Xenopus tropicalis: one gene and its partners. The protein of the gene in region 2 binds, or shares a complex with, the protein of the main gene of each other region. Links are inferred from orthologs where the notes say so. Each region holds a gene or a part of one and is shown on either strand. Other genes may lie near its edges. The genes, in order: ccdc153, tcte1 and efcab2.

Region 1 (10,686 bases), on a different chromosome or scaffold from region 2:
GGCCCATTCTCCTCTGACCTCTAGCATCAACAAGGCATTTTCGCCCACAGGACTGCCGCATACTGGATGTTTTTCCCTTTTCACACCATTCTTTGTAAACCCTAGAAATGGTTGTGCATGAAAATCCCAGTAACTGAGCAGATTGTGAAATACTCAGACCGGCCCGTCTGGCACCAACAACCATGCCATGCTCAAAATTGCTTAAATCACCTTTCTTTCCCATTCTGACATTCAGTTTGGAGTTCAGGAGATTGTCTTGACCAGGACCACACCCCTAAATGCATTGAAGCAACTGCCATGTGATTGGTTGATTAGATAATTGCATTAATGAGAAATTGAACAGGTGTTCCTAATAATCCTTTTAGTGAGTGTATTTGGTGATATACAGTAATTGGAAATCCAAAAATATGGAACCATTGCATTTCTAAAGGAGATCTGCCACAATTAGATATTCAAGTGGATTCCAAACCCTTTACTTTAAATATCACTGGTAAAAAGAAAATCGTAAACATCTGTCCTGTTTGACTTAGCTGAAAAATTTGTGAAACTGCTGAAAAAATTTGCAATATATGGCTACCGCACAACTTGATGCATGCAAATTTTTCTTGATGCAACCAAAACTTTTTAAAACATGCTTTTTTTTTAGCGCAACTTTTTCCTCACTTGGAGGACTTTCGCCGAAGCGAATTTTTATGGCCGCTTTGTGGAAAAATTTGCCGGTGCTGAAATGCGGAAAAATTTCACTGATCACTAAACATAACCTGACCTTGGAATAACACAATATTTCTATAGAAGTTAAGGCACCCAGTCCAAAGCCATAAGAACTTCAGATCTATATTCACCAAATATGGAACCTATAAAAGATGACATTTCAGCACAAACTAATATTACAAATAGATAAAGTTTCTGTCTTTTTAAAGATTTTTTTTTAGGCTTTTTTGGTACAAGCGGTCACTTGAAAGGTACACTACAAAATACAGCATTTAATAAATCATTAGCTTTAGAATGACCTAATTTGTTTCTACAACAGAAGCAATTTGATCAGGCCATTATGCTGATGTTTCTTACAGTCATACTGGTAGATTTGTTGTAGTTGAAGGATCTCTTCACTTGTAGTTCAGCTATGGGGGACCCACCCATGCTCTCACAAAGTAGACTCCATTTTATGGACATTTGCAGGTAAGAACAAACCACTACCAAAGACAAAGACTACTTTGGCCAACCTCATTGCTCCATGGGTAACTACCCCTAACTATAGTGTATTCTGAACCAATTGCACCATTCTGTAAACTGCACATCTACATATGCGCGACTGCACAATATCTATTGTGTTATAGATCACTAGTCAGAAGTCCAGAGGGTTCAATCCATAGTCCTGTAACATCTGTTTGTGTTGTTGATGGATAGACAAGGCCTGATCTTTCCACTGGAGTTCTGCCACATTGAGCTTTGATAGAAGATGATCCAGGCAGGACTAGGACAGAAAGGAGAAAAGTGAGCTGGGGAAATACTTCAGATATTCTAAGGTTAATAAATACTACCACTAGTACTAATAATAATAGTGGTAGCGGTACTGTTGTGTCCAGCATTTCTGCACACACAAATACACATATACAAAAAGAGTGATTATTGTGAATTTTTGGCCCAATGTTGTAATAGGTAAAATTCTATATTTTGAAAAACGAAGACACTGTATTTAGTCACAAATAATCAATATAAGCCCCTAAACCCATACTTTGATAAAACACAGCACAGATTAAGGAAGTATGCATTGAAAGTCATAGAAGGAATATTAAAGGCAGGAGAAAAAGTCAAATTTACATAAAGGATGCAGAATGTTTGGAAAAGGTTTATAGATCTAAAACTTAGCCAAAAAAACAGTTGTGGATTGATACGGATAAACCTCAAGTGTAATGAGCATGAAGAAAGCAGAAACAAAATATGAAAAGACACAATAGTATGAAACTCAGGAAGAAAGATGTACAAAAAATAAGAAACACACACAGATTAGAACTTAGATTAATTCTCAAGTCAGAGGCTCCCAAGATATGACAAAACACTGGTTTACTGAGTACTTTAGCAGTTTAGTGCACAAACTACACAGAGGGAAACCTGTGTCATGTAATTACTTCTATTATGACACAATGTAATAACTGACAGATATAATTAGCATTAATGTGAGGTATGTCCATCCTGCTGCCTTTCAGCTAATTAAAGGAAAACTAAACCCTGCAAATGAATGTGGCTTAAAATGCTATATTTTATATACTGAATTTACTGCACCAGTCTAAAGATTCAGAATCTCAATAGCAGCAATGATCCAGTTGTCACAGGATGTCCCCATCTTGGAAAGTGTCTGCGACACTCACATGCTCAGTGCACTCTGAGCAGCTGTTAAGAAACTAAGCTTAGGGGTCACTGCAAATTATCAAGCAGAAAATTAGGATTGTCTGTAATATAAGATGATGCTAATTGCACTAGTTTCAGAGCTTCCATGTAATGTAAATCTGAATAGATTACTAATCTGCCATGTATCGTGAAATTTATATTTGTATATACTGTGTACAACTTTATGGTATTATGGTAGGCAACTTTCTGGTACTTATTAAACAGATGAGGAAGCCATTCAAAAGATGCTAATGTTGGCATACACACTGCTTATTACTGAATCTATTTTATAACATTTGTGAGTTGTCTGAGAGATCCATAAGCCTTTAGCCTCACATAAATATACTAAGCAAGATATACTTAACAAGAAACTAGCCACAGCAACACACAATTTAAATGTAGGAATTAAGAAAGGGGTTAAGACTAAGGGGCAGATTTACCAAAGCACGAATTCGAATCCCGAATGGCAAAAATTCGGATTGTAAACAAAAATTTCGCCGCCTTTTCGTCGCCGGCGCAACTTTTTCGTATTTTTCGTTGCCGCTGCGACTTTATCGTATTTTGCATGACTAATTCGTCGCCATCGCTATTTTTTCGTATTGAGTGGATGGCGGAAAAACCAATACGAATTTTCGCGACAACGCCGAAAAAGCTGCGGAACATACGAAAAAGTCGCAAAAATACCAATCATTACAAAAAAATGCATTTGGACGCCTTCGGACCATTCGTGGATTAGTAAATCTGCCCCTAAGGGTATGGTTTGGAAGTGGGTGGGAGGATAACAAAACAAAACAAGAGGCCCAAGTCTAGTACCCATGTTCCACTAATTGCACCCTAATCACTCATGTCCAACAGGACAAATCTGCTTTATTTTTCCACATTTCATTTACTGCAAACAAATCAACAAGTTTTTATTCTATAAAGAGCATTCCTTAAAGGGAAACGAAAGTCAAAGTCACTTGGGGGTGCCAAAATGTTAGGCACCCCCAAGTGACTTTAACCGCTTACCTCGTACCCCGGGCTGGTGCCCCTGTTAGGAGAAAACAGCACCAGCCCGGGGCACCTGGAGCGCAGCGCTTCCGTCTTCCTCGCTTCCTTTTCCTGAGTGCCAGCGGTGGGCGCATGCGCAGTAGAGTGAAAAGCCGACTTTAACATTTAAGTTCGGCTTTTCACTCTACTGCGCATGCGCGCGCAGCGAATCAGGAAAAGGAAGCGCCGGCAGCTACCCCGGGCTGGTGCTGTTCCTTCCTCACAGGGGCACCAGCCCGGGGTAAAAAGTAGGCGGTCAAAGTCACTTGGGGGTGCCTAACATTTTGGCACCCCCAAGTGACTTTGACTTTATTTTTCCTTTAAGCAGAGCCACCAGACTGTGGATCTGAGATAGAGTTCTCCAGGGAAGAACTACATACTACTTGCAGAGGAAGCTTAGTGTTCAGCTATTAGGAACTAGCGGGGTGGACAGCTGATCCCAATAACACTGTGAATATTGTGTTTTGCCTGACACCAAGAGTTATGTTGAAGTCATCAATTAAATACTGATATGCAGCACTGGCCAAAAGATGAAAGGGAGGGGAAAAAACAGAATAAACACAAAACAGTAGAAAAAGTAGATATTAATTAAAAAAAGACACCAAAACAGTGTTAAGTAGAAGAGCGCAGCAGATCGGAAAGCAGAAAAGAGGAGACCAAAAAAAAAGAAAAACCCAAAAACAAGGTTGGGGAAGAGAAAATCTGAATGTTAAAGGAAAACACAATGGAAAAAGGAGAATGGTGGAAATTTGAACAATGGAAAACACGGAGAGTGGAATGAAAAGAGGGGAAGGTAAAGGCATGTTTCTGATACTAAAATCAGTTAGGGCATCTACTTTACCACTCCAAACATCTATGCCTCTAATAAGAACCAGTTTCCACACCTCACCCTCAATGTCCACCTATATTGTTTGACCCCTGCATGAAGGATTCTTCATACTACTATGTTTTTTTTCCTGTAGTGGAAGTTTTATTGGTTTCTTCTAATGTGGCTCCCATAAGCCAATGGGTCTGGGTGCAGTAGAGTACTTGTAGCTACACCACTGGAAAATGCAAGAGGGGAGAAGTAGGGAATTTTCTGAAAAGAATTACTGTTTATAGTTTTCCTATTAAAACTGACACCTAACTCCCAGGACCCCAATATAGGGTAACATTTACCTGCCCCACTTCCACGCACTTCAGGATATTGCTAGATGAGTTCTAGGGGATATTGTTACAGAGGACGACTGCAAGAATTATGACCTATTAAAGCATGAGATCCACACCAGACATGCTTTTCAGGTACTTGCAACTTAGGCATGCTTTTAATATACAATTCCCATCCAGACCCATAAGGTTATCCGAAAAAACCCTTGAGACTTACCTTCATAGACAAGACCTCTCCTGGTTCTACATTATACCTTCTTTAATAGGTCCCTCTCCCCTTCAAAAAAATAGACTAAATGGCAAAGGGACATACCCACGCTAGAGGATGAGATGTGGTCTGATGCCCTCAAGCTTGTTCCTTATTTATCCATCTCAAAGAGGGATAGATACATACAGATTAAGTTTTAAACAGAGTGTACTCAACAACCCACCGTCTGGCAAAAATTTATAATAATGTGTCTGATCAATGCCCCAAATGCACCGATGGCATAGGCACCATGTTTCATGGCTTCTGGTCTTGTCAGGCTATCCAGAGATTCTGGGGTGAGGTGCTAACATTTCTCAATGAGAAGCTTGGCTTTCCAAACATCCATTCACTCCTATGCTGACTAGGAGTAATAGGTGATATACACATCTGGTCCCACTCCAGAGCATGCTACTTACAACTGCTTTACTATGCTAAAAAAGCCATTCTTATGCATTGGAAATTCTTAGATCCCCCTTCTCTTCAGTTTGTCAAAAGATGGTAGATGATTCCCTTCCAAGCCAAAAACTGATTATTTAGCAAGACGTCCAGAGAAATTCAATGCTATATGGGGAACCTGCTTTGAACAGCAAAATATCTGAATGTATAATATACCTATTTACACACTTTTTGATTTGGGGCCTTTGCCTCACTTTGCTTTCCTTTCCATTCTTCCCTTTTGTTAATTGTATTCCTTGTATTGAAAACTATGCAAAAAGAAAAGCTTTAAAAAAAATTAAAAAAAAACTGACACCCAAATGACATGCAGTGACGCTCCTGCCGTAGCTCAAATAAATTTAACTTACATGCAACAAATTCTCATATTCTGACTCCATGTTTTCCACCTCTCTACGCAGGTGTATAATTTGATCCTCTTTCTCGGATTTTGTGTGCTCCAATTCTTCACGGACTTCCTTTAGCTCTTGCTGAGACTCACCTAAGTGTGATGCATACACAATTACACATTATTGGGCTTGCATTGTAAAGTATGCAAATTGAGGACAGAGCTATTTACTATTGCAGGTTCAACTGTATACACAAAGTGGTTGCGACTTTTCTTGTGCCTTAACACCTATTTGGAATTTGCAGATATAAATGAGATTAAATTGTAATGAATGGGATACCTGAGGGCTCATTTACAGCTGCAAGCGCAATAGACAACTTGCACTTAAACTACTTGGACTTAGAACCGCTTTCATTAAATTTAACTGCGTCATAATGCACTCTTCACACTACCCTCTAGTTGCACTCAGTCCTTCCTGCTTTCCGTTTCAAATCGGGCTCTGCTGCACTTATTGCACGACATTCGCACGCTGAACACCAAAAACGATGCCAACAAATGCTAGAAATTACACCAGACAGACTTTGAAAATATTCAGTGCAACTGCTCCCAATTTGCAACAAGCTGAAGACACAGTTTCATCCATTTTGGCAAATTGGATGCGACTGCAGTAGGTGAGCGCAATTGCGCCAACAAAATCACCCGCATTACAATGACACCAGAATTCTGGAAAAAAAATGCATTGTGGAAAAAAACATGGTAATTGCCCCTGAAATTGCATTTGCACACTGCGTAAAGTAATGAATGCAGATTTTTCCTTATGGACTTTTTCAACCTCAACTACTATGCTACTGTTACTATGTAACTTAACTACGGTGAGCCAAATGAAAGAAGATCTGGAAAACACCAGATTCCATGCATTCTGGATAGATTTCATGTCTCTATAAGTGTGTCTACATTTTATGCCGTCTAGTACTACGCTCCATTCTCACCAAGTTGTAACCTCAGTTCCGCAACCTCCTGTTTCAGGGCCTGGATAGATGCTGAGCTCTGCTGTTCCAAAGCCTGCTGCTGACGTGTCATTTCTAAGGGTGACAGAGAAAAATGAAGCCAGTCAGTACTAAAGGAAAAATTAAACCTGTTATGTAGAGCACAATCTTGACCCAAAATTACAATTTTCATTGTAATATTTTAATTTACATCCACTGAAACCCAGCCATTTCTGGGTGGGTAATAACTACTAATACTGTTTTATGAAACGTCCTAATGTGAGCGATTTATTAGTTAGCTGATTAGTCACCATATGGCCTTGTTTAATTTGAGCCTATATCTTGTCAATTTGAAATTCTATCCTTTGATACCAAAAAGGAAGATCCTTTCCTTACCACTGTATATAGCTTGTTTTTCACTTTTCTCCTCTTCCAGGTCTCCCTGCAGCTCTTGCAGTTTTGCATGCAGCTCCTCTTTGTGTTCCTGAGTTCGCCGTGTTACTTGCCTGCGCAGCGCTGTCAGAAAGGAGAGTCATATGAAGTATTTAACGAATCTTACCAAGGTTGCATGTACAACAGTAAATACTGCTTTTTTTATATATTTCCCCCTGAGCCGCCATTTTGTGATGGTCTTTGTTGCTTCCTCACAGAGTAAAACACACAGTTCTGTTCATTCAGTGGCTGATATAACATCTGCATACCCTTGGTTTGTGTATCAGCACAGTGCCTCATATGAACCAGAGGGTGGAGCTTAGTTCTTAAAATGGCAGTTTTTAAAATTGGGATTATCCAATGGCACATGCTATTAGAAAAGTATATTTTTTTATGAAAAGGTTTTAGTTTTAAGAAACAATGTTTTACATATGTTTATGTGATTTACTTTTAGAGTTTTTCTGGGGGCTCCTTTAGCCCTGAAAATGTAGCGAAATTGAGTTCCCAAAGATATTGTGTTCTGAATATGCCACTGCTGAAAAGATGAAATTCACTATAATCTGTAATTATTCCTATATGTCAGAGGTCCACTTGGGTCTCACCAAAATTGCAAGTAAGCCCTGTAAGTAAATATGGCCCCACAGTTTGAGAAGCACTGGTCTAATTTATTTTACTTAATTAAATACTGACTTTTCTACATTGTTTTTTTTATACCTATGTCCACCTTACATATTTCTGAATTATATATGACAAAAAAATGGCTCCTTGGGGTCTCCCCTACTACTGGTATGTATGAAAGGTCTTTTGTGAGAACACCTCAAGTTGGGACATTTGGTATATAACCAAAGGGGTATACCTGAAAAATCTGTCAGGGTCTGGCAATGCTGGTTGGACACTTTGGACTTTGAGGACATCTCTCATTAAAACCACTGTTTAGTACTGTATATTGCAGCAATGCCACTCTTTTCTATGTAACCCTAGTGACAACTCTATACATAAACATAAAGGCGATGTATTAAGCTTACCCACCTACTCTTTTCTTTTATATGTATATCTTGTTTGTTTCTTTCTTGTTAACATTTGGTATTAAAAGCAATGAAAAACATCTTTAAAAAATGATATGATAAATACCGCATGAAAACACAGGCTCTAGAATAATAGTATCTCTTGATACAGCCAAAGCATTTGACTCCATTGAATGGCCCTTTCTCTGGGAGGTAGTTACTAGAATGGGATTTGGCCCCTCCTTTGTCAAGTGGCTTAAACTTATATAGTGAACCCAAAGCAGCCGTCAAAGTTAAAGGAATCCTATCTACCCCATTCAATCTCACCCGAGGCAGCTGCCAAGGATGCCCCCTCTCCCCACTATTGTTAGCCCTAGTGATTGAGCCCATGGCGATCAAAATTAGACACTCCCAACAAATTGAAGGATTTATATGCAAGACAGCTGAGGAGAAAATCTCTCTATATGCCGATGACACACTGCTATACCTTGCAGACCCCCATGACTCATTTAAAACAGTTCTAGACATAATCAAATCCTTCGGCACATTCTCTGGCCTACAGATTAACTGGGAAAAATCTATAATTTTCCCCCTAGACGATCAAATTCCACTAATGACAGACCCCGAATGCACCCTCAAAGTAGCCAATAGTTTCAAATATCTGGGGATAACAATCCACAAAGAACCAGCAGAATTCCTTATACACCCACTCCAGAATAAATTTATAGACACAATCAGGCACTGGACAAAACTGGCGCTTACATTAATAGGTAGAATAAATATATGCAAAATGATTTTTCTACCTAAATCCTTTACCAATTTAGTAATACCCCATGTCACATACCAAAAAAAACCCTATTAGAAATAGACCGTACTCAAACCACATTTATTTGGGGAAACAAATCTCCAACACTCCCTAGGAGCACCCTAAATGCCCCACAAGACCAATTAGGACTAGCATCTCCCAACTATGAGCTTTACTACCTAGCCTCTCAAAGCACTCACATTGCAAATTGGAAATTGTTTGACCCTGAGAACTCAGCCTCATTTCTAGAAGCCCTTTACATCCCCTCAGTAAAAAACCTACACAATGCTCAATATAGAACAAGGAAGGACATTAGTCCACTACTACCAGTCTTAGATGCCACGACCATGACACAGTTAACGAATAAAACAGGGGCAATATCCCCTGATACCCCATTATGGGGGAAAAGCAACCTACCGCACTTTGCATCTTTCCCAGAAGCAGGATCCTGGGCCAGGTTAGGGGTAAAGCGTATTGACCACCTTTACTCAAACGGTGAACTGCATACACTACCTCTGTTACAACAAATTTTCCTCCCAACCCGGCCTGTCAGATTACGCGTCTTTGTGGAGTACATTTTCAACAACCGCCACATATACAGTACCTAGATCTAGAACACTTGACAGCTCAACCCAGCAAATCTAAACTGCTTTCAAACACTTACAAGCTCTTAATTACTAACAGGTATGACCCACGGCCTAGGGTGAAGCTTAAGTGGGAGACCTCTGGGATACAATTAAATCCCGATGACTGGGAAGAAGTCACAGATAACTTGTACCAGTCCCTAATAAGCACAAGAGACAAGTTAATACAATTTAAAATTATACATTAGACCTACCTCACCCCACAAAAGTTATATAACATGGGGAAAACCGATATATGGGCAACTTTATGCACCTAATATGGGAATGCCCTGAAATACAAAAATTTTGGTGCAAGGTTACAGAATTCATGGGAACAGAACTGGACTTCGGCTACCTGTATATTGGGTCTCCTAGACACTCTGATACCCAGAAGGAATACAAAATTACTAATGAGACTACTACTTTTTTATGCCAAAAAAAACATTGCTCTGCACTGGATGGGCCCATCACCCCCATCACTCCGATCACTCCGCAATTGGATTAACTTCAATTCACAAGTGGAACTGTACAAACTTACCTATCTCACCAGAAGATGCCCGACAGAATTTTAAAACATTTGGTCTACTTGGACAGACTCACCAGCCACAACAATATAATGAATGTTTACTCTCCAACTTCTTTTTTTCTTTCCTTTCCTCCCCTCTTCTTTCTATCCTATTCTATTGTTGTTAAAAATCAATAAAAACCAACCTTTAAAAATAAATAAATAAATAAATAAAAAAAAAATGATATGACAAAAAATAAAGTAAGGCAAACATTAAAAAGTTAGCTATCCAATATATATGCCAGGAAGTGCAGGCAAATACAGTCTATTGGAGTGGTATTTTAACCTTCCCTCATCAGGTATCGTAGTTCAGTGCCCTGAAATGAATCAATTTATTTTCCTGTGCCACCACCACAAAAAGTTAGATAACTTTATACTAGCACATGAAAAACTTGTTTTCTTTGTTTGCTTACTGTTGGGGCCTTGTTAATGGCCTGATTTGTTCTTTTCCTAAAATTATTCAATACACTTTTGTGGCTGGGTTTATTTTGTAAACTTAAAACAACAGCTTCTACCTGAATGTGCCCCATTGACTTTTAAATGATAATTCATAACTTTGTGTAACTAGGGGCCCCTGACCAAAGTTCCCTCTATATTTCCCCGATGGCAGCCCTACCTTTATAACTTTATGTAATGGATGATCCCGAGTCACGATGTATGATGCTAATTTACATGTAATG
Region 2 (10,786 bases):
ATCGAGAACCCGCAGTGCACTCTCCTTCAGCAGTTTAGCAATGGCTCTAGCGCCTCGGTCTGAGACCTGGTTGTGAGACAGGTCCAAATGGACCAGAGCCGGGTGGTTCAGCAAACTTCTGACTAGAACACAAGCCTTGTCGTCATCCACTTTACTCTTGTGCAGTCGGAAAACCTGAGGATAAATGGATATTAACAGGGGGGGGGCAAACAAAGGGCAGAAAGTCCAACCTTTGGGGTATTAGGGTATGTGGATCTGCAGGGATCTCTAACAATCAGCCCATAGACCAATGTTAAACTGGGGATTCCTATATATGCCCCCCCCCCCCCATAGTACATTATCAGCCAACTTATATAAAGCTTGGTTCAATGCAAACCCAATGAGGTCACCTAATAGTCCCCAGAGCTGACAATCTATCAGTGACCCTGGAGCCACCCTACAGTTTGAGGGGGGGTTCACTAAGTTAATTTTTAGTATGTTATAGAATGGCCTATTCCTAGCAACTTTTCAATTGGTCTTCATTATTTCTTATAGTTTTTGAATTATTTCCCTTCTTCTTCTGACTCTTTGCAGCTTTCAAATGGGGGTCACTGACCCCGGCAGCCAAACCCTATTGCTCTGTGAGGCTCCAGTTTTATTGTTATTACTTATCTTTCTATGCAGTCCCTCCCCTATTCATATTCCCATCTCTAATTTAAGCCACTGCCTGGTTGCTAGGGTATATAAGACCCTAGCAACCAGATAGCTGCTGAAATACCAGATGGAGAGCTGCTGAACGAAAAAGCTAAACCACTGAAAAACCATCAGAATATCAATGTCTACATCATATTAAACGTTAATTTAGGGTGAACTACCCCTTTAATGTGCACCATCCCTATTATTTTCCTTATATGAAACCCTTATGGTGCCCCCAAGCTTCCCAACTACCCCAGCAGGGGTGCCTGTCACTATTACTTGCCCCACAGCTTTACCTTTAGATTCCTGAACACCCGGAGCGCCTGGGCCAGCGAGTTACAGTCCCGATCAGTAAAGCGGAACAGGTTCCACTCGAAGTTCATGCCGCAGTTCCTGACTCCATACACCAGGTGGAGCTCTTCCAAGCCGGGCAGGAGAGGGGCTACGAGCCCCAAGTCGAAGTGGTCCATGGATGGCAGGTCTATGCCGGCCTCGCTCCCTGTGTCGGAAAGCTCGTCTTCCTCCGCGTCCTTCTTGGTTTCCAGCTTGACGGGGGGCAGAAGCTCCTTGATATCCAGTTTCTTCACAAAGTCCCGGCTGAGCTCGGCGGCCTCCAGAACCGGGTCGGTGTCGGACACGTCGGGAATGAAGCGCTCAATGAGATGTTCCAGGTTCCTCTCGAAGAACAGTCTCTTCCAACTGCCCCCGTAGCTGGAGATGTCACACACGGGCCAGCGGGCTGTGCAGCACCGCCTCCAGTACTGCTCATAGCCAATCAGATTGGCCGTTACCTGCAGGGGCAGCGAGGGGGAGAGGCGCTCCAACACCTTCACTCGGTGCTTCGGCAGCAGTCGCTCCAGGGTGGGTCTCTCTGCACAGACAGTGTCATTAATAATTATATGCCTTTATTATGGACTCACCTGAAAGGGGGCGTGGCTAAAGCATCCCATGGCTCCTCCCCATCTACTCTCTCCACCCCTTCTACTCATATGTCTCCTACACTCTCAGCCATTGTCCTCTAGGCCCCTCTTACCCCTCTTACTGGGAGCCGGAGTAAGGCCCATAACGATAGGCCGTCCCCTCTTACTGGGAGCCGGAGTAAGGCCCATAACGATAGGCCCTCCCCTCTTACTGGGAGCCGGAGTAAGGCCCATAACTATAGGCCCTCCCCTCTTACTGGGAGCCGGAGTAAGGCCCATAACTATAGGCCGTCCCCTCTTACTGGGAGCCGGAGTAAGGCCCATAACGATAGGCCGTCCCCTCTTACTGGGAGCCTGAGTAAGGCCCATAACGATAGGCCGTCCCCTCTTACTGGGAGCCGGAGTAAGGCCCATAACGATAGGCCGTCCCCTCTTACTGGGAGCCGGAGTAAGGCCCATAACGATAGGCCGTCCCCTCTTACTGGGAGCCGGAGTAAGGACCATAACGATAGGCCGTCCCCTCTTACTGGGAGCCGGAGTAAGGACCATAACGATAGGCCGTCCCCTCTTACTGGGAGCCGGAGTAAGGCCCATAACGATAGGCCCTCCCCTCTTACTGGGAGCCGGAGTAAGGCCCATAACGATAGGCCCTCCCCTCTTACTGGGAGCCGGAGTAAGGCCCATAACGATAGGCCGTCCCCTCTTACTGGGAGCCGGAGTAAGGACCATAACGATAGGCCGTCCCCTCTTACTGGGAGCCGGAGTAAGGCCCATAACGATAGGCCGTCCCCTCTTACTGGGAGCCGGAGTAAGGCCCATAACGATAGGCCCTCCCCTCTTACTGGGAGCCGGAGTAAGGCCCATAACGATAGGCCGTCCCCTCTTACTGGGAGCCGGAGTAAGGACCATAACGATAGGCCGTCCCTCTTACTGGGAGCCGGAGTAAGGCCCATAACGATAGGCCCTCCCCTCTTACTGGGAGCCGGAGTAAGGCCCATAACTATAGGCCCTCCCCTCTTACTGGGAGCCGGAGTAAGGCCCATAACTATAGGCCGTCCCCTCTTACTGGGAGCCGGAGTAAGGCCCATAACGATAGGCCGTCCCCTCTTACTGGGAGCCTGAGTAAGGCCCATAACGATAGGCCGTCCCCTCTTACTGGGAGCCGGAGTAAGGCCCATAACGATAGGCCGTCCCCTCTTACTGGGAGCCGGAGTAAGGCCCATAACGATAGGCCGTCCCCTCTTACTGGGAGCCGGAGTAAGGACCATAACGATAGGCCGTCCCCTCTTACTGGGAGCCGGAGTAAGGACCATAACGATAGGCCGTCCCCTCTTACTGGGAGCCGGAGTAAGGCCCATAACGATAGGCCGTCCCCTCTTACTGGGAGCCGGAGTAAGGCCCATAACGATAGGCCCTCCCCTCTTACTGGGAGCCGGAGTAAGGCCCATAACGATAGGCCGTCCCCTCTTACTGGGAGCCGGAGTAAGGCCCATAACGATAGGCCGTCCCCTCTTACTGGGAGCCGGAGTAAGGACCATAACGATAGGCCGTCCCCTCTTACTGGGAGCCGGAGTAAGGACCATAACGATAGGCCGTCCCTCTTACTGGGAGCCGGAGTAAGGCCCATAACGATAGGCCGTCCCCTGTTACTGGGAGCCGGAGTAAGGACCATAACGATAGGCCGTCCCCTCTTACTGGGAGCCGGAGTAAGGCCCATAACGATAGGCCGTCCCCTCTTACTGGGAGCCGGAGTAAGGCCCATAACGATAGGCCGTCCCCTCTTACTGGGAGCCGGAGTAAGGCCCATAACGATAGGCCGTCCCTCTTACTGGGAGCCGGAGTAAGGCCCATAACGATAGGCCCGTCCCCTCTTACTGGGAGCCGGAGTAAGGCCCATAACGATAGGCCGTCCCCTCTTACTGGGAGCCGGAGTAAGGCCCATAACGATAGGCCGTCCCCTCTTACTGGGAGCCGGAGTAAGGCCCATAACCTCTTACTGGGAGCCGGAGTAAGGCCCATAACGATAGGCCGTCCCCTCTTACTGGGAGCCGGAGTAAGGCCCATAACGATAGGCCGTCCCCTCTTACTGGGAGCCGGAGTAAGGCCCATAACGATAGGCCGTCCCCTCTTACTGGGAGTGGATAACTAGTCAGACCATCACTGCAGCAGGGAGGGGCTTTTATTTCTAATAACTGTGTGTGTGTGTGAGCGCCCCCTGTGGGCTCCGCCCCTTCCCACGCCCCCCCCCCCCCCCCCCCCCCGGGAGAGAGGATTATAAATAGATAATGAATAATTGAGGCCCAGAGAGGAGACTGAGTCGGGATAGAAAGGTCACAACTGACTGGAAATGGAGACGTAAATGGAAAACAGCCCGGGGGGGGGGCATTTAATCACTCGCACAGAACCCCCCCCCCAGTATTCCCTTCATTCTCTGTCATTGAGAAATTAAAGAAAAAGTGCAGAACCTTGTGGGAGAATCCCATGTAACTGCCTCATGGCTGGGCACTGGGTCGGGTCCGTCAGTACCTGGTACCAACTCCTGTATCATTGGGGCCCCAGGCAGATCCGGACTTGGTCTCAAAATAGGCCCCAATATTTCCAGTACCCAAACAGCCCCCCCAGCCCAATAAATAGTGACTGTCCCTGGTATAAGATGGGGGAGGAAAAGCAAATTCACCAAGTACCAATGGAATAGGGGCCCGTGCCCACCCATTGCCCACCCATTGCCTACACATTGGGAACCCATTGCCCACCCATTGCCTACACATTGGGAACCCATTGCCCACCCATTGGCCACCCATTGCCCACCCATTGGCCACCCATTGCCCACCCTTTGCCCACCCATTGCCTACACATTGGGAACCCATTGCCCACCCTTTGCCCACCCATTGCCTACACATTGGGAACCCTTTGGCCACCCATTGCCCACCCATAGCCCACCCATTGTGAACCCATCGCCCACCCTTTGCCCACCCATCGCCCACCCATTGGGAACCCATCGCCCACCCTTTGCCCACCCATAGCCCACCCATTGGGAACCCATCGCCCACCCTTTGCCCACCCATTGGCCACCCATTGCCTACACATTGGCCACCCATTGCCCACACATTGGCCACCCATTGTCTACACATTGCCCACCCATTGCCCACACATATCTGCCCGGGGCCCTAGAGCCACTTACGTGCAAAGTTCGTGACGATGTGCTGCAGGCAGAGGTCGCTGAGCAGGGGGACAATGGCCAACGACCATGTTGGATCTTCTGCAATAATTCTGCGCATCCTTCTGGGGTCGGCGGCCGGGTTTCTTTGCCCCACTGGTAACGGCGCCGGCACCAAACCTCTTACACTGGGAGGGGCCTCAATCATCTTGCTGAGCCAATGGGCAGTGAGTTGTGGAACTGTATATGCTTTTACCCCTGTGAGTTAGGACAGAGAGATAAGAGGGTGCTTAGGGCCCGCATACCCGGAACCCACAGGGTTAGACTGTAAGGGCCGGTGCTTAGGGCCCACACACTGGGAACCCATAAGGTTAGACTGTAAGGGCCGGCGCTTAGGGCCCACACACCCGGAACCCACAGGGTTAGACTGTAAGGGCCGGTGCTTAGGGCCCACATACCCGGAACCCACAGGGTTAGACTGTAAGGGCCAGTGCTTACGGCCCACACACTGGGAACCCACAGGGTTAGACTGTAAGGGCCGGCGCTTAGGGCCCGCATACCCGGAACCCACAGGGTTAGACTGTAAGGGCCGGTGCTTAGGGCCCACACACCCGGAACCCACAGGGTTAGACTGTAAGGGCCGGCGCTTAGGGCCCGCATACCCGGAACCCACAGGGTTAGACTGTTAGGGCCGGCGCTTAGGGCCCACATACCCGGAACCCACAGGGTTAGACTGTAAGGGCCGGCGCTTAGGGCCCGCATACCCGGAACCCACAGGGTTAGACTGTTAGGGCCGGCGCTTAGGGCCCACATACCCGGAACCCACAGGGTTAGACTGTAAGGGCCGGCGCTTAGGGCCCGCATACCCGGAACCCACAGGGTTAGACTGTAAGGGCCGATGCTTAGGGCCCACACACCCAGAACCCACAGGGTTAGACTGTAAGGGCCGGTGCTTAGGGCCCACACACTGGGAACCCACAGGGTTAGACTGTAAGGGCCGGTGCTTAGGGCCCGCATACCCGGAACCCACAGGGTTAGACTGTAAGGGCCGGCGCTTAGGGCCCACATACCCGGAACCCACAGGGTTAGACTGTAAGGGCCAGCGCTTAGGGCCCACATACCCGGAACCCACAGGGTTAGACTGTAAGGGCCGGTGCTTAGGGCCCACATACCCGGAACCCACAGGGTTAGACTGTAAGGGCCGGTGCTTAGGGCCCGCATACCCGGAACCCACAGGGTTAGACTGTAAGGGCCGGTGCTTAGGGCCCACACACTGGGAACCCACAGGGTTAGACTGTAAGGGCCGGCGCTTAGGGCCCACATACCCAGAACCCAGAACCCACAGGGTTAGACTGTAAGGGCCGGTGCTTAGGGCCCACACACCCAGAACCCACAGGGTTAGACTGTAAGGGCCGGTGCTTAGGGCCCACACACCCAGAACCCACAGGGTTAGACTGTAAGGGCCGGTGCTTAGGGCCCGCATACCCGGAACCCACAGGGTTAGACTGTAAGGGCCGGTGCTTAGGGCCCACACACTGGGAACCCACGGGGTTAGACTGTAAGGGCCGGTGCTTAGGGCCCACATACCCGGAACCCACAGGGTTAGACTGTAAGGGCCGGTGCTTAGGGCCCACACACTGGGAACCCACAAGGTTAGACTGTAAGGGCCGGTGCTTAGGGCCCACATACCCGGAACCCACAGGGTTAGACTGTAAGGGCCGGCGCTTAGGGCCCACATACCCAGAACCCACAAGGTTAGACTGTAAGGGCCGGTGCTTAGGGCCCACATACCCAGAACCCACAGGGTTAGACTGTAAGGGCCGGCGCTTAGGGCCCACATACCCGGAACCCACAGGGTTATTATTATTATTATTATTATAAGGGTTAGACTATAAGGGCCTTTGTGTTTATTTGGGGTGAGTAGAACATATACACATATAAATATTTCTTTGCACTGAATGCCTTGTAGGTAACAACTCGCTTTACGGCAGGGGCCCCACACTGAGGGTGAGACACAGGGCATTAGGGCTGAACATATAATACAATGTGAGAGGTAAGGGAGCTTGGCTGGGGGCTCCCGTATTACCCTGCCCCCCATACCCCTACCTACCTACCTACAGCCAATCCCCAGGCACAGACTTACTGTAGCACCGCGGTACCGGCTCTCCCCTGGCTGCTACCGGCCGGAGTTTACCGTTCCCATGGCAACACAGGCAGCGCTATTTCCCCGCACGGATTCTGCCCCGGAGCGCCCCCTGGCGGGTACCGCGTAACATGATCCGCACTTTAACCCATTCGCCGCTCTCTGTTCCGGCACCGAGGGCTGAAAAGGGTCGGACCGGGGGTTGGGGCAAGTTGCTATTGTCTGGCCCCCCAGGTCTGGCAGGTCCGGGTACTTTAGCCCCCCTAATACTGACCCATCTCTTCCCACCCCTCCCTTAACCTCTTAACTGCCCCCTCTCCCATACGGAGCCTTCTCTGCCCTCCCTTCCCTAACACTGACCCCCAACTGCAACGCCCCCCCCCCCCCCCCCCCCCCCAGCAGAGATCTGTAAAAAATCTGCCATATTGTTACCCCTAAGTTTGCCCATAGCCTGTACAGAGAGATACCGTAAAACTATGGCACATAGGGATTCCCCTGTACTAAGCACAATTCAGCAGGAACAGCCCCCTAAGTTTGCCCATAGCCTGTACAGAGAGATACCATAAAACTATGGCACATAGGGATTCCCCTGTACTAAGCACAATTCAGCAGGAACAGCCCCCTAAGTTTGCCCATAGCCTGTACAGAGAGATACCATAAAACTATGGCACATAGGGATTCCCCTGTACTAAGCACAATTCAGCAGGAACAGCCCCCTAAGTTTGCTCATAGCCTGTACAGAGAGATACCATAAAACTATGGCACATAGGGATTCCCCTGTACTAAGCACAATTCAGCAGGAACAGCCCCCTAAGTTTGCTCATAGCCTGTACAGAGAGATACCATAAAACTATGGCACATAGGGATTCCCCTGTACTAAGCACAATTCAGCAGGAACAGCCCCCTAAGTTTGCTCATAGCCTGTACAGAGAGATACCATAAAACTATGGCACATAGGGATTCCCCTGTACTAAGCACAATTCAGCAGGAACAGCCCCCTAAGTTTGCTCATAGCCTGTACAGAGAGATACCATAAAACTATGGCACATAGGGATTCCCCTGTACTAAGCACAATTCAGCAGGAACAGCCCCCTAAGTTTGCTCATAGCCTGTACAGAGAGATACCCTAAAACTATGGCACATAGGGATTCCCCTGTACTAAGCACAATTCAGCAGGAACAGCCCCCTAAGTTTGCTCATAGCCTGTACAGAGAGATACCATAAAACAGGAGGATTTGGATAAAAACCTTTATTTGAGGGTGGGTCCCAAAGTATGGGGGTGCAGAGGAGGTAGTTTCCTAGAAGAAGCCAATGCCATAGGTCAGACAGAGAAAATGAAATAGTGCAGCCTCTATACACAGACACAGGGTTAAACTGTGCGTCTCTGACAGACAGACAGACAGACAGAATGTTGGGAAATTCCTTGGGCTGCTAAATATTAGCAAGTTTAGCACCTGTCACTTTAATAAAAATATAGATTCTCTTTAGTTTCATAATAATAAAAAAAAGTAAAAACTTTACATTAAAAACCAAGGAGAGAAAGTGCAACCTGTGCGGTTCAGGCCTTAGTGACCCCAGCGCTGCCCCCGGCACGTCAGATAGTGACCCCCGCAGCAGCACCCTGGGGGTATCTATGTATAAGGCACAGGATTTACTCCATTCCCGACTACTCCCCTTTGGGGGGCAGTGAGATTATTGGGGTTCATATGCATTCAGGAGTCAGGCCGACCCAGTCAGGATAAAGTTTCAGGCTATTGTCATACAGAGAGTTATAGTTGTGCCTCTCCTTAGGCTTGGGGTGGGGGGGCTCGAGCTTCCTTGTACAGAGGGAAAGTTTCAGGCTATTGTCATACAGAGAGTTATAGTTGTGCCTCTCCTTAGGCTTGGGGTGGGGGGGCTCGAGCTTCCTTGTACAGAGGGAAAGTTTCAGGCTATTGCCATACAGAGAGAGTTATAGTTGTGCCTCTCCTTAGGCTTGGGGTGGGGGGGCTCGAGCTTCCTTGTACAGAGGGAAAGTTTCAGGCTATTGCCATACAGAGAGTTATAGTTGTGCCTCTCCTTAGGCTTGGGGTGGGGGGGCTCGAGCTTCCTTGTACAGAGGGAAAGTTTCAGGCTATTGCCATACAGAGAGAGTTATAGTTGTGCCTCTCCTTAGGCTTGGGGTGGGGGGGCTCGAGCTTCCTTGTACAGAGGGAAAGTTTCAGGCTATTGCCATACAGAGAGTTATAGTTGTGCCTCTCCTTAGGCTTGGGGTGGGGGGGCTCGAGCTTCCTTGTACAGAGGGAAAGTTTCACCCTATTGCCATACAGGGAGTTATAGTTGTGCCTCTCCTTGGGGTGGGGGGGCTCGAGCTTCCTTGTACAGAGGGAAAGTTTCACCCTATTGCCATACAGGGAGTTATAGTTGTGCCTCTCCTTGGGGTGGGGGGGCTCGAGCTTCCTTGTACAGAGGGAAAGTTTCAGGCTATTGCCATACAGGGAGTTATAGTTGTGCCTCTCCTTAGGCTTGGGGTGGGGGGGCTCGAGCTTCCTTGTACAGAGGGAAAGTTTCACCCTATTGCCATACAGAGAGTTATAGTTGTGCCTCTCCTTAGGCTTGGGGTGGGGGGGCTCGAGCTTCCTTGTACAGAAGGAAAGTTTCACCCTATTGCCATACAGAGAGTTATAGTTGTGCCTCTCCTTAGGCTTGGGGTGGGGGGGCTCGAGCTTCGTTGTACAGAGGGAAAGTTTCAGGCTATTGCCATACAGGGAGTTATAGTTGTGCCTCTCCTTGGGGTGGGGGGGGCTGAGTTTCAGGCAGTGATACAGACACAGGATGTGCCCTGGCAGAATGGCAGCCCATACTCTGGGGCCCCCTGTATTGCACCTACCCCCGGGGGGCACTTCCTGTCCCCTATCTGCCCCATTACTAACCCTATGCAGCAGCAGGGGTACCCCCACCCGCACACAGGTTCCTCACAGAATACAAGGTTTCGCCTACAGCAGCACCATTTTCCTGCCAGAACCGCAACACTTGGTCCAAAGATAAAAACCCAGACGTTCAGTTCTGAAAGCCCTTGACTGTAACGGGAGCCTGGAACCAGATATAATCCCCGCTGGTGGGTTCCGGGGCCGGAGAGTCCGTACATGCCAGTCTGACAGTCAGGGTGTGGCCCCTGCTGGGCACCTTATAATTCAGCTTGGGCTTGAACCAGTCTGTGCCGCACTGGCGCTGCCCCTGCACCATCACCACCAGACTCAGTACAGACGTAGCGCGCAGGTCGCTGAATGGGTCGGCCAGGAACAGGGCATGGAACAGCTGGCGCAGACACGGCCGGGTACCCAGGCTCTGCTCCCCGTTACCCACGCTCACCCCCGCCATGTCGATATCGTACAGCTCTTTGGGATTCACGGGGTTCCCCCCCAGCAGCAGCAGAACGCGGGGTACAGGGGTGATGGCGAACAGAGTTTCAAGCTGACCCAGTAGCTCCTCCAGGTCCGACAGAGTCTGTTTGCACTGGCGGTTCCCCAGCTCCTCGGTCCAAGAGCGTTTCTTGGCAGCATCTTCACTTCCCTGGGGAGAGATAAACACAGAGCTAAACTACAACTGGAACCGCCGAACTAACACGGGTGCTGCTACACGGGTGCTGCTACACGGGTGCTGCTACACGGGTGCTGCTACACGGGTGCTGCTACACGGGTGCTGCTACACGGGTGCTGCTACACGGGTGCTGCTACTTGCAGTTCAACAACCGAGGGCCCCAGTGCACTCATTTATGCTGCCAGTGACTGTGCCAAGCGTGCCCATGTTATCTGCTGAGCTGGGCAAAGACACAGAGACAGACACAGAGACTGAACACATATTGGTTCTGCTCAGTCAAGGGGCTGACCCAGTTACACAGTACCACTATAT
Region 3 (10,786 bases), about 50 Mb from region 2:
CCTCTAAGGGCTCTGGCACACGGGGAGATTAGTCACCCGCGACAAATCGCCTGCGCAGCGTGTGTCATCCCACCAGCCACTTACATTTTCCCCGGTGGGATGGCAATCCGGGGAGATTAGTTGCCCGCGAACAGGGAGATTTGTCACGGGCGACTAATCTCCCCGTGTGCCAGAGCCCTAAAAATGGGACACTTGTTTTTTTATCCTGCTTAATCCTATTATAGTACCCATAATATTTAGCAATGCAGACAATTTCTGAGCTGACCTGAAGGATACTGTAACATTTTCCAGCCTTCAGGTAACCTGCTTTTTAAAAGAGTAAGGGGGCGGTCTCAAGGTCAGGACCCATTACTGGTTTCTGTATATAATGTGTTTGGAGCTAAAGTTCTCTCTTCCACTCGCTGTGAAATTAAATTTAATTTAGGAGCAGGTCTGAAATCAGAGGTGGGTACTTCATTCAAAGGTCAGTGGCAAAGGGGGTCCCAAGAAACACAGAGGTGTTATTTGTGGTAGCAAGGGGACAGGGTTTGGGTGGATCATGGGTTTTGACACAATGAGGCATAGTCCGTGTGTTTTCCCATGAGAGTATACCTTTTAAATATGCAAATATATATATATATATATATATATATATATATATATATGCAATGTATACATTTAGACATTATTAGCATGCACTTCAATAGCATGAAATGCATTGAAATGCTCTTGGGCACTTATATTTAACAAAAAATTGGCTAGAGTATCATCTGATAATCATTTGTTTTATTATAAACCTTATTTGTTAAAAACATTTATATTACAAAAAAATATTTATGTTTATGTCTATGTTCATTTTTTATATATGTGAATGCCTGTTCAGTGAACCACTGTCTCAAATATAACCTTCTAACTTGAAAAAATAGATACATGTTTCTGGTCCTGTTTTTGGTATTGATTGCCAAAGGCTCATTAGGGTGCACTATGTAAAGCTGGCCATACACGTGAAGATCTTTCAACCTTGAGGCCCTATATACAGGCAGATAAGCTGCTGAATTGGTCTAAAGGGGCCAATTTGGCAGCTTAGATCTGCCTGTGCATGGCCACTGAAAAAACTGGGCAGTCTGTGGGAATTCAAAGTCTTCAAGTGGGAATTTAAAGTCTTCAAGTCTAAAAAACACCACTTTATATATAATTGTACTATGTACGTGTTTTAAAATGCCTCCTGTTTTTTTTAAACTGACTTATTATCAATAATCATCAATGGTCATCATTGCAGCATACTCTCTGTATGGAACAACATTCTTCTCTGGATCCACTGCAGCTGACACCATCTCTTCCATCTCCTCTTGTGTGAATGGTTCACCTGAGACAATAAGACACACAGTCTGTGCAAGTGTTTCATGATTCAAAAATATTTATTTCTAGATTAGCACTGTCTCAAAATAAACACTTTGTGTATAACTGTACCTTCTTCAGTCATATATTTGACAAGTTCTTCTCTAGTGAGGTATCCCTTTTTCTTTTCATCTAAAACCTGGAAATTAGTAAATAGAGCTGATTAGCTCTGCCTGGTAACACTCTTTATTGCCTATTAAAACATAACAATAAAACACCAACCTCAAAGGCTCGGAGAAGAATATCTTCAGGAATGGGTCTATACCTGCAAACCACAAAGGAAAATTATAGAAAGACCTAAATTTGCATCATGTACAACAATTAAAAAACAAGTTTTTCTTTCTACATCTTAATCAGTTTGGCAGGTATCTTTATATAAATCAGCAGAAAAATAAACTCTAGAGAGGAGTGTAAAAACCATACACAGCAGCTCCTGTGGGGAGGGGGCCCAGGATTACAGTCCAGTGCAGTTCTAACTGAATCTAAAACATACAGTATGCATCCAACCATTCCCCCACATATATAATATATTCATCAGAGGATTGCACCCTTGTCATAACTGAAGTATTGTTTTGGGTCTGCAAATACGAAGACATTAGGCTAATGGCTGTGCCAAGACACCCTTTACCTAATGCCACCATAAAGCTGGTGTAAAGCACATGAAAGCACCTAATGAAATGTATACCTTCTCTCCATTAATGCCTTAGTCATCATGGGGAGGAATTTTTCAAAACGAATGTACCCTGTAGGTTCTTCTTCTTCTACCTAAAAGGCAAGGAATATAAATGTAAATAATAAACCATATTTGAAAAAAGAGATTAAGAAATGTAAAAATAATAAATCAATTTTATTTAAAAAAAATATTTCCTGTCATAATTACATTCCATGGGACAGCAAGGTTTATTGCGTTCAAAATCACAAAACACATGGCTATATTTTTAGCAAATAATGTGATGCAGAGTATTTAGTTAAGAAAAAACTTTACATTTAAAGGAGAAGGAAAGTCAGTTTGGCATTTTACTGCCAATAGATTCGCCACATTAGTGCCACCTAGAATGCTATATTTATTCTGCAGAAAGCATTACCATAACTGAGTAAAGAGCCCTAGAAGCTTTCTCTGTTTGTTTAAGACAGCAGCTGCCATTTTAGCTTGGTCTTCATAGCTTCCTGCTTGCAGTTTAGCCGCTATAGCTCAGATTACACATTCCTAAGGGTGGGGGGAGTCAGTTTCATGAATTCTTATGGGAGGGGAGAGCAGGAGAGAGGAGAGAACTGTGCAGACTCTGGCCCCTGGAATGAAGGATTTTTCTGAGAGAGGAAGTCATACACTCTTAGACCATGTTTACAAAAAAGGAGACAATAAATCATGTGTTTCTTTTGATGAGGACTCAGTGCAGTGTTTCTGTGAGTGCTTATGGCTGTATTAACATAGAGCTTTCTGATAAAGCTTACTTAGTTTTTACCTTTCCTTCTCCTTTAAATGTTAATGAAAACTGGTATATTTTGTATAGGATGCCTAATGTGTCTATATATTGATGTTCATTTATAGTTGCTCAGAGTTGCCATACTATTTTTTGTTTAGAAAATGTAACATTTTAGAAACAGACTTTAATAAAACAGTGCCCTCTATTGGCTGAACATGCTAACAAAGACTCGCAGAATTCTTGTTGCCTTTAACAGGCAAAAACTTTCTCAGCTACATCTTAAACGTGGGAGTTATTTTACACAGCAAGATAAGACATACAAAGGTTTTATCTCTTCTTAGGCAATAATAGGTCAGAATAAATATAAAAATATTTTTACTTTTACAGCTGCAATTTTTCAGTTTTTATTGATATGGGCACAATAAGTGCATATAGTTCTGTACTCTTTAACTTGTTTTTAAAACCTTACCTCTGCAATCATATCATGGAGTTCGCCTTCTGTTGGGCAACATTCTAAAGACCTTATGATTGTTCCAATCTCTCTGTTACAAAAGTAGCACAGTTAATGCATGAAACTTTAAAATAAAACAGGGTTAGGGTTAGCTTTTATATCCTGTTAATGTAAAAAAAATCTTAATTAGTCTAATAGCTTTAAAAAATAATAAATAAAATAAATAATGTGCATATTGTATACTTTTTTTAATGAGAACTCTTGACAAAGTAAGGTTTTGCTTGTTTAGTGTGTTGTTTTTTTTTACACAATACAAAGAAAATGATTACCAAAGCACACACACTTTTGAGATTGCATTAAATAATAAAAATGGCAGCTTTAGGAACTGAAAGCTTGTACAGCTGTCTTTCTCCTGTTTACCCAGCATTCTACAAAAAAAAACTACAGGGAAAATGTTATGTTTACCTGACATCAACAGTTTTGTTACATTCATGGTCAAAAACCTCAAAGGCTTCTGTAATTTTTTTCTGTAAATCTGTCACTAGAGATTCTGAAAAAATATGTGTAAGAAAATAATTAGATGCATTAATGGATTAGCAGGCATAGTGACATGCTTTACAGTTATACACTGTTTCCATTACTAATATGACTATTTGAGCTCCATCTGTGTGGAGAACCATCTGTCACCACTTCAAGTGCAACGGATCACCTCTTTAGCACACACAAAGATTTTGGCATGAAAATACATATATTTATATGTCACATGCCTGTCAGTGCACACACAGGTTCAGAAAGAGAATGGTGGTGCATTGCCTATTCTCAGATTGCGCTGAAACAGCCTTAGAACCAGGGCCGCCGCCAGGGAGGACAGTCCTGGGCCCGGTGGGTTTTGAGGTTTAAGGGGGGCCCGGCCGTGCTGCTGTGAGAGCTGCAGAATCGGGTAGCAAAGGACAGGAACCTGGGTGCCTGTATCTCCTTTACTGCTCATTTACCACAGAACTCTAAATCCTGGTAATTCTGCATGGGGATTGGATGGGTCCCTTCCAGCCCATTCAATCACCATGCACCTTTTCCGGGACTTAAACTTTATTGGCAAATGAGCTTACAGAAAGCTGTATGAGATAATAAGAAGCTGGCACTGGAGCGCTAGTCCTGTGTTCTGAAGGCTGCTGGTCACTGACTGCAGGGGGCCCTGGTAATCCAAGTGCAGCGTGGCCTGCGCTCCTATGACCATAAAAAACACCAGGACAACTATTTGCCCTCAAGGCTGCCCTGTACGGTGGTATTCTCTGTTGCTCATATACAGTATGTCTGTTCACACCATAACCTAAACGCTTGAATTAAGGAAATGGATTAATTGGCTTTGGCACTGACTATAATGGATAGAAAACAGAACATAAGCTACTAGCTTTTTTAACACACATTAAAAATGTAATTTGGTGCTTTTTTTTGCATTTATTACTTTTACAGTTTTCCTATATCTTGCACTGATCAGAATAACTTACTTCATTACAGCAACTTATAGTAGCTCATTGTCTCTTGCTTACATTTCAGGGTTTGTTTTTAGCCAACAGTATTGAGATGAGGTATAATAGTAATGGGTGCTAAATTCCAAAGTTTTGATTATAACTATCTTGCACAGAAGCCAATCCTAGTAACAGGGATGTGACTGGTGTGATCAGTACAATTTTAGGATATCCTTAGGTACACACCTACATACCTACACCTGCACGGCCCCCTTACGTTATCAGAGAATGGGAATTGCAGTACATTTTTTAAGGGGAAGTAAAGTGAAAAATCTAAGAGCCCTTATGGTGCCAGGTTCTTTATGAAAAAGACAATATTTTTTAATATAAATTTATTAAAAAAATCCATACAGGTTTTTTTTTTGTTTAACATAAATATAATCCCTTGCCTTTGATTCCCCCCCTTCACTTCACTAGGTCTGATGTACTGATCGAACAAAAGCTTAGATGCCCACTGGCTGGACAACAGATCCTGCTAATTGTGTTGTATGGGGCCTGTGAGTTCTGATGGCAGCCCTGCCTAGGATTATAGCACATTCTGCTGCCTGCAGTATATCAATACTAAAATTCTATTCCAAATTGTACCAATAGGTTAATTGATACTCTATCTAAAATGCACCCAGTATTTTAGTCACCCATAAAGATGAACAGGCGATTATTTGTAGAATGTACTTTACTCGTTTCTATTGATTTTCTAACAGGGTTCAGACCAAGTCTCTGTTAATTTCCCCTTCTCCTTCCCTCTCCTCGTCTCGCTATTTTTATCTGTTTTTTACATTTTGTTATGGAGCATTAACTTACCAGCGGCCTCCTTCTCATCAGTCATTTTTGTATCTGGTTGCTAGGTGACTGCACAACCCAAGTCATTTGACCACCTGGTGGCGCTGAGATGACGTGCGTGAATATAAAACACTTCCTAGCTGCTTGTTCCTGCGAGCGGCTGGAGCGTGACGTCATTGATCTGCGCCATTTGGAAAATACAGCTACAGAGGAGTGAAGAGTAACAATGTCTGAGCGGAAAGTCTTAAATGTACGTAATAGTAAGAAGGGACTTGGGGAAAGGGACAGGAGGCGCTTGGTTAAGGGATAGACCGGTTGAAGATATGTAAACAGCACTCACTAATAAAGACGTGGTGCGTCAGTAAAAACTCTGAGGATTGTGTTATAAAAGGTGCAAAATTCTGTACATGACTTGTTACCTAATGCAACCAATCAGCAAGTAGCATTTGCTGGTCACTTTTTTTTAACGCAAAATATGGCTTTCTTCACCCTGGCATACTTGTAACTTTTATTACGTATGAGGGATATTACATATGTTACATGTTATATAATTAATACTAAGAGAAGTTATCAAAGTAGTAAAGGCTGAAGTGAAGACAACTCTGCTGGGTCAGTAGTTCCAGCATTCCACTCTGTCAGCTTCAGGGGTAGGCTGCAAGGTCACCAGTATGAAATTCAATTATTATATTGTACATTTAAAGCAAGACAAATCTTGCTTCCTATGCCAGAAGCATCTTGTTTAAAAAGCTTGGTCATTCCACATACGTGCAGAGTTCAGCTAAAATGCATAACTATTATAATCATAATAAACGTTCTCTGGCAAAATCTGGCTAGTGTGCAGTAACAGGCGGATTACACATGGGGCAGCTAAATCAGCATGTCCCCTGTGTAGCAAAATGGTTTGTATGATATGGGCCTAGAGCTAACAGCGATGGCACTGGAAACTGGTTAACACAGAATATAGTCAGTTTATAGTGCGTACTACTAATATCAGTTGTCAGGGTCACGTTAAAAAACATGCTGAAGGTACTTTGATGTCTATGTTATGAAGATGTAAACTGTAATTAAAAGCCCAGCTTATGAATTCTTACATTTCTTGCTATATGTAATGACACCTATATATGTACAGATATATGAAGACACTGCTGTATCAGCCATGAGTATCCAGGAAATAAATTGTCACTTAACTGAGGAAGATCTAGGCCTTACCCTTAGATCTTAGGTCTTACACTAACTGGCTTGCAGACTTGGTCCCCCTAGCCACTTGGTCAGTTTAGGTACCACTGATATAGATGACACATAATAACATAGTAAGTTAGGTTGAAAAAGGACATATGGCCACCAAGTTAAACGTAATGCTTATATATAACTTGCATAACTGCTAGTTGATCCAGTGGAAGGCACAAAACCCCATCTGAAGCCTCTCTAATTTGCTGCAGAGGGGGAAAAATTCTTTCCTGACTCCAAGATGGCAATCGGACCAGTCCCTGGATCAACTTGTACTAAGAGCTATCTCCCATAACCCTGTATTCCCTCACTTGCTAAAAAGCCATCCAACCCCTTCTTGAAGATAACTAATGTATCAGCCAGTAGGAGTGGTTCAAGTATGGAATTCCACAACTTCACAGCTCTCACAGTAAAAAAATCCTTTCCGAATATTTAAACAGAACCTCCTTTCTTCTAAATGGAGTGGGTGCCCTTGTGTCAGTTAGAAGGACCTACTGGTAAATAAAGCTTTAGAGAGGTTATTATATGATCCCCTTATATATTTATACATAGTTATCATGTCACCTCTGTGCCTCATCTCCAGTGTAAACAGACCGAACTTTGCTAGTCTTTCTTCATAACTGAGACTTTCCATACGCTTAACAATCTAAGCTGCCCTTCTCTGGACCCTCTCTAATTCAATAATGCCCCGTTTGAGCACTGGAGACCAAAATTGAACAGCATATTCTAGATGGGGCCTTACCAGCGCTCTGTAAAGGGGAAGAATAACCCCCTCCTCCCGTGAAGCTATGCACCTTTTGATACAGCTCAAAACCTTGCAGCTGCTGCCTGGCATTGCTTGCTACAGCCAAGTTTATTATCTACAAAGACTCTGAGGTCCTTCTCCATTATGGACCGTTCGTGCATTTTTCTTTTACAAATAATAAATTTAAGTTTATACATATTTTCCAGTTAACTATTTTATAATAAGCTTTTAATCAAAGCGTTTGATTTTATTTCACTGAAATATATTGACATTTTTTTCTGGAAACATAGTACTAGTGGTCGATATATGCATGCAGTACATCAGCTGTATTTGAACGTACTTAATATTCCAAGGACTTACTTGTATGCTGTGTAAAGCATTTGCAGTCTTTGGCATTGTTTTTCCCCCAACGTCCACAATGTTTACCATAGGGAGGCTGTCAGAGCTCTGCATCCTTCCATATATGGTGATATCATATATATTTTTCAGGTTATCTTCTAAGGCAACCAATCATTCATTTATCGAGCCTATAAATTGTTTACTGTTATAAATAATTATAAATTATTTGCTCTTATTGTTATAAAATGATTTCATTTTAACTTTTTATCTGTTTTAGAAATATTACCCTCCAGATTTTGATCCATCTAAAATCCCAAAGTTAAAGCTTCCAAAAGATCGCCAGTATGTGGTTCGTCTGATGGCACCATTTAATATGAGGTGAGTGCATGTGAGTGGTGTTTAAGGAGTAACCCACTGAAATATTTTTTATACTGTTTTTCATCGAATTGTCCAGAGTAAGTAATTTTATTTCTTCGTCAATGTCTTTGCAGGTGTAAGACTTGTGGAGAGTATATTTACAAGGGGAAGAAGTTCAATGCTAGAAAAGAAACTGTGCAAAATGAACTGTATCTGGGGCTCCCTATTTTCCGTTTCTATATTAAGTGTACACGTTGCCTAGCTGAGATCACTTTTAAGGTAATAAAGTAAACCTTATATTTGGAGGATATTTTTGAAGGACCAGCACTCCAGTTAATGAATTATAAAGTTTTAACATCACTGTGTATATGGACTTTTATCAAGGATCCTAAAGTAGTACGATAGAAGCATGCTTGATAAAGGCTCTAATGTGGGCCAAAACGTTGGATTCAAAGTGGTGTTAAATAAAACAGTATAATTCAAGAATGGAGTTCTGGTCCTTCTGAAAGCTTTATATTACATATTGACCGTGTACCCAAGGCTAGACTGACTATGGACACACACACATATATATTTATTTATAATAATACACAAGGGCCGTTAATCTCCTGTACAAAATATCCTTATAAATGGCCATGACCTACTGAAATGTGTGTTTTGTAAAATAATTTAGCATGTTGAATACAATGAAAATATAACCAATCCACGCCTGATCATAAGCAGAACAAGCTGCAAATGTGGCATTTTACATTCACTTGAATGGGTGTGAGCTATGCAGTGTTGTGTCATCCCCCTCATTCACCGAGGTGACAAAAATTCTGCACATCTTGTGCAATTACCCTTAGCTACTGACAAACACATTAGTCTGGATTTATACTAGCTTTGTTTACAATAAAGTCAGTGTTGTTTGAACTATATGGGAAGTGGCATTGCCATATTTGGGTGAATACATCTCCCTGTATTTCCCTGTATGGACATGTCAATAAATGTGTTACACCATTATTATGTTTACTGCATGTATTATCTTTTTGGTTGTTTTTTTTTATCCTATAACATTTAGTTTTTTCCACACAGACAGACCCTGAAAACACAGATTATGCAATGGAACATGGAGCAACTCGCAACTTTCAAGCAGAAAAATTGATAGAGGAGGAAGAAAAGAGGTTTCAAAAAGAACGTGAAGAAGAAGAGCTCAATAACCCTATGAAGGTAACTACCACTCTTTTTGGAAGGAGAATGGGTTAATAAAATATTGTTTTTCTCATTTATATATATTCTGGCAAGTTATACTGTTTTCTCTGGTACCGTGGTTCACTCTTCTGCTTCTGGTGTTCCCAATCCCCCTCTTTTATGTTTTTATGCTCCTGTTAGTTGTGGTTCTTCACATTCTTTGTTTTTTAAAGGACATGTAAACCCCACACACAAAAATGTAAACAGTGAACAGCCTCTTTGAAATCTTTCAATACCTACCACACTGGTTGTCCAGAGGTTAAAGGAGAAGGAAAGGCAAAGTCACTTAGTGGTGCCAAAATGTTAGGCACCCCCAAGTGACTTGAATCGCCTACCTTGTACCCCGGGCTGGTGCCCCTGTTCAGAGAGAACAGCACCAGCCCGAGGTACCTGCAGCGTTTCCTCCTTCCTGTATCGCTTGCCCGCGCTTGCGCAGTAGAGTGAAAAGCCGAACTTTAACAGAGACGTTGGCTTTTCACTCTACTGCGCATGCGCCTATTGTGTTAGTCTCATCGAAATGAAGCCGGGAGGAGGAAGAGCTCGCTACAGGTACCGCGGGCTGGTGCTGTTTTCTCTTAACAGGGGCACCAGCCCGGGGTACAAGGTAAGCGATTAAAGTTACTTGGGGGTGCTTAACATTTTAGCACCCCCAAGTGACTTGGCCTTTCCTTCTCCTTTAATAGTAAGGCTGCAACATCCCCTTAATCACACACAGATTTGCTTCTCCTTCTCACTCGGCCCCCTCCCTTAGGAATTTGCTTTGGCTGTTGGCTTGTGGGCATGCTCAGTTGTTCTAAGCTCAGATTACTAAACACGCCCCCCAGTCTAGCAGCCAGTGAAGAGATGGCATTGCTGGTTCCCATAGAAACTCAGCTCTAGCTGTCTGCTTCAATATTTTCTCCCAACCAACTCTCCTGAGCTCAGCTCAAACAAAGCAGAACTTTTATCAGAGACAGTTGTGTGCCTGTGTGAGCCTGTATTCTTGATTAAATGTATGCTGATTAAGGGTCTGTGTGTGTGTATGCTGTTTGCAGATTTAAATGTATCTAAATATGTATCAGAGGAAAAATGGCCACCAGGTGAAAGCTGTTATTTAGTTTAGGAAAATGTGATGGTGCAAGCAAAGGGAGGGGATATATGCAGTACAAATGAAGCCATTTGGGTGGGGGAGACGTGTTGCGGCAACGCAATTGTACTCTATAGTTTGAAAGTCAGTCGCGGCGACTAATTGCCCCATGTCTCTTCGCCCTAACCTGAACTGTAGCATGGTGAATGTTCACCAGTTAAAGCAACATAAATACTTCTACACCTCTGCCTAATCAGTATGAGT

The links.
Region 1: tcte1 (region 2) and ccdc153 share a complex: the UniProt entries of both Homo sapiens proteins name them as parts of the nexin-dynein regulatory complex. The link is inferred for Xenopus tropicalis from reciprocal best matches to the Homo sapiens genes DRC5 and DRC12.
Region 3: tcte1 (region 2) and efcab2 share a complex: the UniProt entries of both Homo sapiens proteins name them as parts of the nexin-dynein regulatory complex. The link is inferred for Xenopus tropicalis from reciprocal best matches to the Homo sapiens genes DRC5 and DRC8.

What each region holds. Positions count from the first base shown.
Region 1 is NC_030683.2:80,331,311-80,341,996, reverse strand, and holds the end of ccdc153 (coiled-coil domain-containing protein 153), read right to left. Parts: intron 7,094-10,686; coding exon 6,974-7,093; intron 6,674-6,973; coding exon 6,581-6,673; intron 5,745-6,580; coding exon 5,614-5,744; intron 1,475-5,613; coding exon 1,346-1,474; 3' UTR 360-1,345; downstream 1-359. UniProt on the Homo sapiens protein: Component of the nexin-dynein regulatory complex (N-DRC), a key regulator of ciliary/flagellar motility which maintains the alignment and integrity of the distal axoneme and regulates microtubule sliding in motile axonemes.
Region 2 is NC_030681.2:2,400,237-2,411,022, forward strand, and holds the start of tcte1 (dynein regulatory complex subunit 5), read right to left. Parts: upstream 6,984-10,786; 5' UTR 6,896-6,983; exon of another isoform or gene 6,867-6,895; intron 5,011-6,866; 5' UTR 4,961-5,010; coding exon 4,777-4,960; intron 1,547-4,776; coding exon 972-1,546; intron 175-971; coding exon 1-174. Other genes in the region: mad2l1bp (MAD2L1-binding protein), read right to left, coding at 9,935-10,447. UniProt on the Homo sapiens protein: Component of the nexin-dynein regulatory complex (N-DRC) a key regulator of ciliary/flagellar motility which maintains the alignment and integrity of the distal axoneme and regulates microtubule sliding in motile axonemes.
Region 3 is NC_030681.2:51,983,861-51,994,646, forward strand, and holds efcab2 (dynein regulatory complex protein 8), read right to left. Parts: upstream 5,663-10,786; 5' UTR 5,605-5,662; coding exon 5,580-5,604; intron 3,803-5,579; coding exon 3,718-3,802; intron 3,344-3,717; coding exon 3,271-3,343; intron 2,143-3,270; coding exon 2,063-2,142; intron 1,643-2,062; coding exon 1,600-1,642; intron 1,517-1,599; coding exon 1,450-1,516; intron 1,346-1,449; coding exon 1,230-1,345; 3' UTR 749-1,229; downstream 1-748. Other genes in the region: splicing factor YJU2, read left to right, coding at 5,785-5,808, 8,147-8,247, 8,361-8,505, 9,301-9,435. UniProt on the Homo sapiens protein: Component of the nexin-dynein regulatory complex (N-DRC), a key regulator of ciliary/flagellar motility which maintains the alignment and integrity of the distal axoneme and regulates microtubule sliding in motile axonemes.